Linked DNA regions of Arabidopsis thaliana. The protein of the gene in region 2 binds, or shares a complex with, the protein of the main gene of each other region. Each region holds a gene or a part of one and is shown on either strand. Other genes may lie near its edges. The genes, in order: AT2G04700 and TRXF2. A codon is read from its position in the direction of its gene.

Region 1 (4,578 bases), on a different chromosome or scaffold from region 2:
ATCCGAACGGGGTCTAATATTCTAGTTCCGAAAGATCTGAATCCGAAAGAACCGATCCGAACCCGAACCGAATACCCAAACGCCCAGGACTAGTTAAAATCATAGATTTTGTACTCAGAAACAATTGTCACGACAAAAATTAATGAATCTCAAGATTTTGTGCCTACCGCATCATTTTCTGCTCTTCTCATATCCTAGAGCATACAAATACAAGTCGGATCGGTGAAAACTAGGCTCGACCTCGATCCACCGGTTTTGTCCATAATACGGGTTCCAAACCACTAGCTTAGCATTGTCTTTCGTGATGTTTAACAACAAACCATCGTAGTGAAAGACTTAAGCTACATCTACTTCATCTGATCGTCTAGGTTAGTAAATTTAGCTTCATGCTTTATACACGATTCAACGTTGGTGTTTAGATTGATGTGCGTCAAATAAACCCTAAAATCAATCATCATGATTACGATAAACTCCTTTTTTCTTTGCTGTACTTTTGCATGACCAACGTGCTTCTTTACAAAGCTCAAATCTTTGAATAAAGTGTTCCACTTTTTGCATGTAAATCAAACTGCTCTTAGAGATTTCATCGGAACCCTAGAGAGGATCTTCTCTACCGTATCCCTTGACCAAAATTAATGTAATGTTAACCTTCGAAAAACAACTCTTTCCAGACTTCTTCCGTCAATTTAAGACATCCTTGACAATGACAACAGAACAACAAAATTACAAACCCTAAAAGGCTTAAATTGAACTTAAAAGCCCAAAACCGATAGTTATGATGGAAATTTATTCATTCAAATTGAAGATAAATAGCGAAGCACTATTGTACAACCAAGTTTCTTCTGATCAGCATAACTAGAGAGGAATACAACAATAATCGACTCTTCATGTGAAGAATACTTTGACATCCACGCATGGCTTGCCCAAAATCCACAACTTGCAAGTATAGAGGCCGTTCATACTTGGCACATGCGAATGCGACATAGAACATTGAACATCACGAGAGAATGGTTGCAAAGAATGGTTACTGTAAAGACCATATCACTGCTTGAAAAAACATAAAACTTGGAGATTGAGATCCGAAGAAGAAGAAGAAGCAAATGAAATACGTTATGAGAAAACTACTGATTTAAGTGGATTGATACTGTTATGGAAGCTTTGGCTTTGAGAGATGTGAAAGAGAAACCTTTAGATCTTTTAAGCTTACTTATTGAAGATTTCGTGTAAAGTTGGATCCTTTTATATAGCTTGTAATCGTTTTGCAAACAAAAGATCATACTAAAGAATATTATCTTAAGAGTGAAAGAGTTGTACAGAAGAACGAAGAAGATGCTCGGGGTATCAATGTACAAGACTGCATTTGGGGCGAGACATATCTCTCTTTTTTTTTACCTAAAGAACAGAGGTGATGAACATGGAAGAACCAGCTCTCTCACATGTTAGCTGTAGTTTCTTTTATTTCATCCGATGTAATCGTCTGCAAGATTCAAACAAGAGAAAGAATTAGAAATCCATATACTATATACTATAGGTTCCCAAATTCCCAATACTACTAAGTTGCTTCGAACCATTAATGGTATCCTTAAAATGGAGACAGAACCTTCAAGCTTTGATTTGAGATTTACCTGATCTTTTCCAGCGAAATCATTATCAGGAGTTAAGAAAAGCATACAATGGCACTCCTTCCTGATGAACAAGTGATAAATACTTTAGTACAAGATGTAAACAAGCAAGTATTATCAGAATAAACCGTCAACAGATGCAAAATTGATCGAACTCTACTACCTAAACTAAGTCCTATTAAAACACAAAGGATCTTAAATTTGCGGTGTATCAGAATTTGATCAAAAGAGCCACATAGGCCAAGAGTTTTACAGGAGTTTTCTAACTATGGTTAATTCAATTTCCACTTGCCTAGCAATATGTGAATACATTCTCTGCATCAATCTTGATACAACCAATACGGAGCATCGGCTACCTCTATGGAAACTACAACATACGTATGCTGCTGAATACTATCCAACTAATAACAACAAGGACGTTGGAGACGATCTATATAACCAGCTTTTCCCAAAGGACTTTATATTCTTAGTTCTAACTATATAGCAACCCCAATGCTTATTATGCAACCACATGAAGAAGATAGTTCTTACCTCTCTCTCATTGGAACACACGGACAATTCCAAAAGCCTTGTCCAACCTCAGCAGCTTTATCATCATAGTGTCTACATCAACAACAAAGGATCAAACTTTACGAATACATAGATAGTTCAAGATTGCTCGGAAGAAGCAAATCACCTGCAAGGGCAAAGCGGTGCACCATATGAATCTTTATGCTCAGCCAAACCCTGCTCACAAAGTTAAGCATTAAACCTCAAGATGTTTACATTCACTAACTCATAATCTACAAGTAGAAAGACACAAGCCACTTCAATAGTTAAGCAGTTGATCACAATCTTCATATCAACACAAGTTCATCTGAAATTTCAATAAGCTCCGATTGAAATCAAGAGTACCTTAATAACGACTGAAGTAACTCCTTTATCAACACAGAAGTAAGTCCCAGAGCGACGAGCATATTGCTCGGAGAATTTCCTCATAATCTCTACTGATTTCTCCGACGGTTCCGCTGCAAAAACAAGAAGAAGATTCAAGATGAATCCAAAACCGAAATCACAATCACTTTAAACAAAGATCTAGGGATTCAAATTGTTTACTTTTCGCTCGGATTACGAAGCGACGAAACGAAGTTCTGGGAGTGACACCAAGTGGACTCGAAAGGAATCCGAAGCTACAAGAAACAGCTTGAAGATTCATCGAGTTTTTTCTGGAATTTGAAGATCGATGAAAAGTTTCGTCGTGGACTTGAAGATTTTTCTTCTCCTCTTGAAATTTGGATTCGTTTATGCTTTTTAGATCGAAATTTTCAGATATTTTTTTGTGTTCATTTTCCAGAAACCAATGCTCGCCACTCACAGAGAGAGAGACTCTCAGAGAATGATAAAGCTTATCCTCAAACCGGAAATAACCGGAATTCGACCATCGAATCGGTTCAAACTTTGCTTCAAAACTTTCGGTTCAATTCGGTTTAGATAAAGAATTTGAGTAGAATTATGAATGAAAAAATCGAGTTTTGGTTTCGGTTCGAGTTGGTGAAATTAGTTTGGTTCAATTGCAATAGAATTCTGATTTGGTTTTAATTTGACTCCAACGTGGTTCAATTACATAAATTTCTAGTTTTATTTTGTTTTAGTGTATTGGATTCAATTCTCTTATGAAAGTTCCGGTTCAATTATGTTTAGATAATAGAATTTAAATTTTAGACTAATGAATAAAAAAAATTGGTTTATTCGGTTTAAATGAGAAATCAAAACCGATTTTCGTTTCGGTTCACGTGGAAGAATTTGTTTTGGTTCAATTGCATAAATTGAAAAGTATTTTGGATACCTTTGAAATTGCTTTGAGGTAATTTACAAGAGATTTTAATATCTATTATGGTCCAAAACAAAGAGTTATTTACAGAAACAGTTACACACTTTTTATTGTTCATCCAATATACATTTTCTTGCTTCACCATTTGCTTGATTCTTGTGAGTTATTATAAAAAGGAAGCGAGTTTGATCCTGAAAACAGTTCAAAAGAACTAAGAGATCAAATGCGAAAAAGGCATACGATTCGAAAATTTTCATAGTTCGGTTTCTCAGAGATTACCGATGTTTTTAAAAGGGTTCACGCAATGTACTTACGACTTGGCATGAAGGTATTCATCTACAGTGATAGGTTTAGCTCCACCATACCAATTGATGAGAAATATATCGATGATCTCGAGTTTAAAGAAGCGGAAATCATGATCCTTAGGCCAATCTGCAAATGATAAAACCATCACATGATAATACAAATCTATCATGAATCTGTATCTTAAGAGATGAGTGAAACAATTAATCACCCATCATCTCTGGATGCTTTGTGAATAAAGCCTTTTTGGCTACTTCTGCTTCCTCAGATCCTCCTTCCAATATCAGCAACTGAAACATTATAATAAGATAAAGACCAAAGCATTTTACAGTAAGTTTCTTTGTCGTGTCAATAAGAAAAAACTCTTTTACCTTCCCGGTAAGGGTTAGTTTAGAGCAAGTAGGATTCATTGGATCTCTTGTACAAGTTCCAAGAGGAGATTCACTAATTGCAAGTGAAGCTCTCTGGTCTTTAAGTGCGTTTCTTGCAGTTGGATCAAGTGTTGTTAAGTAAAAGTAAGGTATACCGTTACCTTTCTCGGGTAAACCATCACTAAACGATACAACATTCCTGCAAATAGAGACCATTGAGATCTCAATAATGTCAAAGCAAGAAAACACATTGTGATATGATTCATGGAAAACAAGATTACCCGAAGGGAGCGCCTTTATGATCAACGGATAGTGTGCTGGAAGAGGAATACAACACCGCAAAAAGAATTAGTAATACACAACTGTTACACTCACATTACCTTGCTGATAACAACAATGCAACAATCTCTTTCACTAATAAAGATCTCAGGTAACTATAGTGTATAGAGTGACCAGTGGTAACTACAGAGTA
Region 2 (4,346 bases):
CTTATCAAAGTATTGCCAAGTTTGTTCCCATGAAAAAGCATGGAGTCTTTGCTATTCAGGTAATAGTGTGTAGTGACGAAAGCTGGCTCCACTGATATGTCTCAATCTGATTAATATATATATATTGGAATAAGTTTTGGGATTCTAGTTCTGTATAAAATACAAAATTGAAGTGTCTATCTATTCGTTGCATTTCACACCTTCAAAGATTACCTATATAGCCATATACTTTTACTTATTCAGCTCTATATAAATCAACAACATAACTCTGTTTTTTTTTTCGCTCGTTGTTATTGTTTTGAATTGTCTGAATAGGTAACTGAACTGAAATGTGGGAGCGTAGTAGTGGGATGCACATTTGATCACCGTATAGCAGATGCTTATTCCATGAACATGTTCCTCGTCTCGTGGGCCGAGATATCTCGATCCGATATACCGATTTCGTATGTACCTTTGCTCAAAAGATCCCTCTTAAAGCCACGACGACCCTTGATCATCGACTCTTCAATAGACAAACTGTACATGCCTATAACGTCCTTGACCGTTCCACAAGAAATCACTAATCAAGATAATATCCTAACAAGCCGTATCTATTACATCAAAGCAGATGTCTTAGAAAAGTTTCAAACTCTGGCTACTAATGGTAAGAGGACCAAACTCGAGTCTTTCAGTGCGTTTCTATGGAAACTCTTGGCTAAACACGCTGCAACAGAGTCGGTACTCCCGACTAAAACCTCGAAACTTGGCATCGTTGTTGATGGAAGGAAGAAACTTATGGAGCAAGAGAACTGCAATTACTTTGGGAACGTCCTCTCAGTTCCATTTGGAGAGCGGAGAATCGATGACTTGATCCACAAGCCATTGTCTTGGGTGACAGACGAGGTTCACAAGTTACTGGAGAGTACAATGACCAAAGACCATTTCTTGAACTTGATCGATTGGGTTGAGACTAGCCGTCCGATACCAGTTATATCAAGGATCTACAGTACAGGATCCAACGATGGACCCGCTTTCGTTGTTTCGTCTGGAAAGAGTTTTCCAGTGGCCCGGATTGATTTCGGGTGGGGCTCGCCTGTTTTTGGATCGTACCATCTCCCACCCGGGAGCAGAGCTGGTTACGTAATGACAATGCCGAGTCCGGTGGAAAACGGTGGCTCCGGAGATTGGACGGTTTACTTGCATCTTACGAAAGGACAGTTGAGGTTTATTGAACAAGAGGCTTCTCATGTGTTTAATCCTGTTGACAACGACTATCTCAAGATTTAAAGCATTATCAAACTTTGGTTATATTATTATGCAAATAAAGGCTTATATAAATTTGGCTTTTATAGTTGTAAATTTCAGTTTAAGATCAATATTTTGATTTAAGTTTAAACCAAAAGAAAATGAGTGTGCAGATTGCTAATGGTAATCGACTAATCGTCAATTCTTGGCCTTACATTGTGGGGGTATGATCGTCATTTTACACTCCGATAATTCTGAACCTCGCGTCCATCGAACCCGAAAATACGTAAACATCCCCAAATGTCTTCTTTCTTCGTTATCCATTTGAGGGTATTATTGACCTCACGGTAAGAAAATCTACAATATTTCACGGATAACGAAAACAACACTCGAATTAAAATTTGGAAATCAAAAGTCTCCCAGGTTCCTTTGAAAGATCACACTACTGTTTTTTGGACTCGAGCTTCTTCTTCAACAATGCCTCTCTCTCTCCGACTTGCTCCATCTCCGACGTCTTTCCGTTATTCTCCGATTACATCTACCGGCGCCGGAGGATTTTCCCCCGTGAAGCAGCACTGCCGGATCCCGAATTCGGGCGTCGCGACGAAAATTGGATTCTGTTCTGGTGGTGGTGGTGTTTTAGATTCCGGTAGAAGGATTGGTTCCTGTGTGGTGAGGTGTAGCTTAGAAACAGTGAATGTCACTGTTGGCCAGGTGACGGAGGTTGATAAGGACACGTTCTGGCCAATTGTTAAAGCCGCCGGTGATAAGATTGTTGTCCTCGACATGTACACTCAGTGGTAACGTTTCGATCACTTCTTCTTCTTCTTGGTGCGAATTTTGGAATTACTTGATTGCAATCTCTTGTTTGGAACTACTTGATTCCGTCGCATGTTCAGAGAATTGGAAAATTCATGTACTTAGATTTTTGATAGGTTTTGGATAAGTCGTTGGAAATTAGGGTTGATTAGGGATTTCTCAGTTGATATAACATTGCTAAGTTGTTTACCAGAGAACTTTGCTTTAGCAGATCCTCATGTCTTTAATTCTCAATTGCCAATTCTTGCTACAACATAATCATATCATGGTCTCTAACCATATCCTTTGCTTCTCTTGGCCTATTTTTAGCTCTATGAACCTCACATTGTGTAGCTTCCATAGTTTAGGGTTAGTATATGATCACCTTGTTACTTTCAATTGTATTCAAAAGTTACAGCATTGTAAGTATCATATATAATCTTCACAGTATCAGGCTGCTGCTTCTCTGTACACATTCTTTTGAATTCATTTTTTGGTTAGGAATGATATATACAAAAGGATATGAAGTTATGAATAGTGAGACTTTCAGGAGAATTAGAGCATGTACATTTAATAAATAAGCATAAAAGGTGTTCCAATTTCCATCATCATGAATGCTTGAGATGAGTTTACTATTAAATGTTCTGTTTTGGTGTTGAGAAAAATCAGTTTGCCTCTCTTTTTTTTCAATCCTCGTTTGGCTCTTTGCAGGTGTGGTCCTTGCAAAGTGATTGCTCCCAAATACAAAGAGCTATCGGAGAAGTACCAGGACATGGTGTTTCTTAAGCTTGATTGTAACCAAGACAACAAGGTTTGTTCTTCTTTTTCCGCTGAATGTGTCTTTATATTTATGTTACTTATTTCATAACTCAAAAACTCTTGCTTGCAGCCATTGGCGAAAGAGCTAGGAATTAGAGTGGTTCCAACTTTTAAAATCTTGAAAGACAACAAGGTAGTAAAGGAAGTGACCGGGGCAAAATATGAAGACTTACTTGCAGCCATTGAAGCAGCAAGGTCAGGCTGAGTCTCTCTCTATATCACTCATTATGTAAAGTATTAGGATCATTCTCCATCCATGTAATTCGTTTGGTTCTATGTATGTAACTCTTTGCTGTTCCCTTAACCGGAATCGGTTGTTCACTATCTATGTATAAATGCTGGAAAGTTATGGAATGATGAGCTGAATGTGTATCTGTATGCATCACAAGTTCATAACCAAGTAAATATGCATGTAAACTATAAGAAATTTAAAAATTAAGATTGATTTTAATTTTGGGGGACCCGATTGTTGAAATAGATGCATTTTGTTTATAGTTTTGGCTTACATGTACGATGCTTGTGCTTTGTTTTCAATGGATGTTCCAACTTCCAGCTAGATTGTTAACAAGTCATATCTTCATTTAGTTGTTCACCAAATCCAGTCTCGCCTAATTTTAAAAATTTAATACATTTGGCGTATGTATATTAGGCTAATGTATTTGGATCTATTCATGTATTTTTTTATAAAAATTGGAGACACCGACAGCATTTTCATCTTTAGATGCAGTCGGATTTTTTTCTTGCTGAAAAAATGTGTTTCCTCTAAAGAGTTTAGAGAAATTGTAATTTCCTAAACAGGATTTTAACCCTAACATTTTTTATATTTATTTAAAAGTAATAATTCATTTAAATTCTTCAAGGTAAAAAATACGATAGTCCACAAGGATTGGGAGTAATCGCGAATACAGAACAACAGATCAGAGTATGACACGTGGCGAAATCTGAAAGAGAGTTATAATCAAAGAGAAACGCGTTCCGAATCCGACATCTTCTCTCTCTCTTTCTGAAGTGAACTGTTGTTGTTGTGCTCTTTGGTTTCATCGAGAGAGAACCTAAACCCGATCTGAACCAATAACAATAAGAAGACGAATGGCGTCTTCGTCGTTCTCAGTCACATCTCCAGCTGCTGCTGCTTCCGTCTATGCAGTCACTCAAACCTCCTCGCACTTCCCAATCCAAAACCGCTCTCGCAGAGTTTCTTTCCGTCTCTCTGCTAAGCCCAAGCTTCGCTTTCTCTCCAAGGTACACGATTCCTTCCTCGATTAAGATAAGATCATTTATCCTGCAATGTAGTTTTTAGCTTTTCGAAATATGGATAATTTCAATTTACTCAAGTTTTGTTTGGCTAATCTTCGTCGATTAGTTTTTATCTGCATTTTACGATTTGATTCTCTCTGTATATATATTTGGCGTCAATTAGAATTCAGAGAATACTGTTTTTCCGGAGAAGAATGATAAAATCCGATTTCCAGATTTATGGGTACAATCGTGATTTGGGGTTTTTT

The links.
Region 1: the proteins of TRXF2 (region 2) and AT2G04700 are in contact, whole or in part, in a crystal structure (PDB 7C2B), measured with the Arabidopsis thaliana proteins. Residues at the interface, in NP_197144.1 of Arabidopsis thaliana: Thr106 (codon at 2,017), Gln107 (codon at 2,020), Trp108 (codon at 2,023), Cys109 (codon at 2,735), Gly110 (codon at 2,738), Pro111 (codon at 2,741), Lys113 (codon at 2,747), Val114 (codon at 2,750), Cys136 (codon at 2,816), Gln138 (codon at 2,822), Lys141 (codon at 2,831), Ala144 (codon at 2,918), Lys145 (codon at 2,921), Ile149 (codon at 2,933), Arg150 (codon at 2,936), Val151 (codon at 2,939), Val152 (codon at 2,942); in NP_001323778.1 of Arabidopsis thaliana: Thr34, Glu35, Pro36, Val65, Val68, Val69, Lys71, Gly72, Glu75, Pro86, Cys87, Arg88, His89, Tyr90, Asp91, Lys93, His116, Cys117, Met118.

The regions. Positions count from the first base shown.
Region 1 is NC_003071.7:1,645,200-1,649,777, reverse strand, and holds AT2G04700 (ferredoxin thioredoxin reductase catalytic beta chain family protein), read right to left. Parts: upstream 2,972-4,578; 5' UTR 2,818-2,971; coding exon 2,718-2,817; intron 2,630-2,717; coding exon 2,517-2,629; intron 2,349-2,516; coding exon 2,299-2,348; intron 2,226-2,298; coding exon 2,154-2,225; intron 1,687-2,153; coding exon 1,626-1,686; intron 1,478-1,625; coding exon 1,433-1,477; 3' UTR 741-1,432; downstream 1-740. Other genes in the region: AT2G04690 (Pyridoxamine 5'-phosphate oxidase family protein), read right to left, coding at 3,743-3,864, 3,947-4,305, 4,388-4,423. UniProt on the Arabidopsis thaliana protein: Catalytic subunit of the ferredoxin-thioredoxin reductase (FTR), which catalyzes the two-electron reduction of thioredoxins by the electrons provided by reduced ferredoxin.
Region 2 is NC_003076.8:5,362,605-5,366,950, reverse strand, and holds TRXF2 (thioredoxin F2), read left to right. Parts: upstream 1-1,559; 5' UTR 1,560-1,701; coding exon 1,702-2,024; intron 2,025-2,733; coding exon 2,734-2,833; intron 2,834-2,911; coding exon 2,912-3,046; 3' UTR 3,047-3,531; downstream 3,532-4,346. Other genes in the region: AT5G16410 (HXXXD-type acyl-transferase family protein), read left to right, coding at 1-59, 316-1,266; CAC1 (chloroplastic acetylcoenzyme A carboxylase 1), read left to right, coding at 3,931-4,083.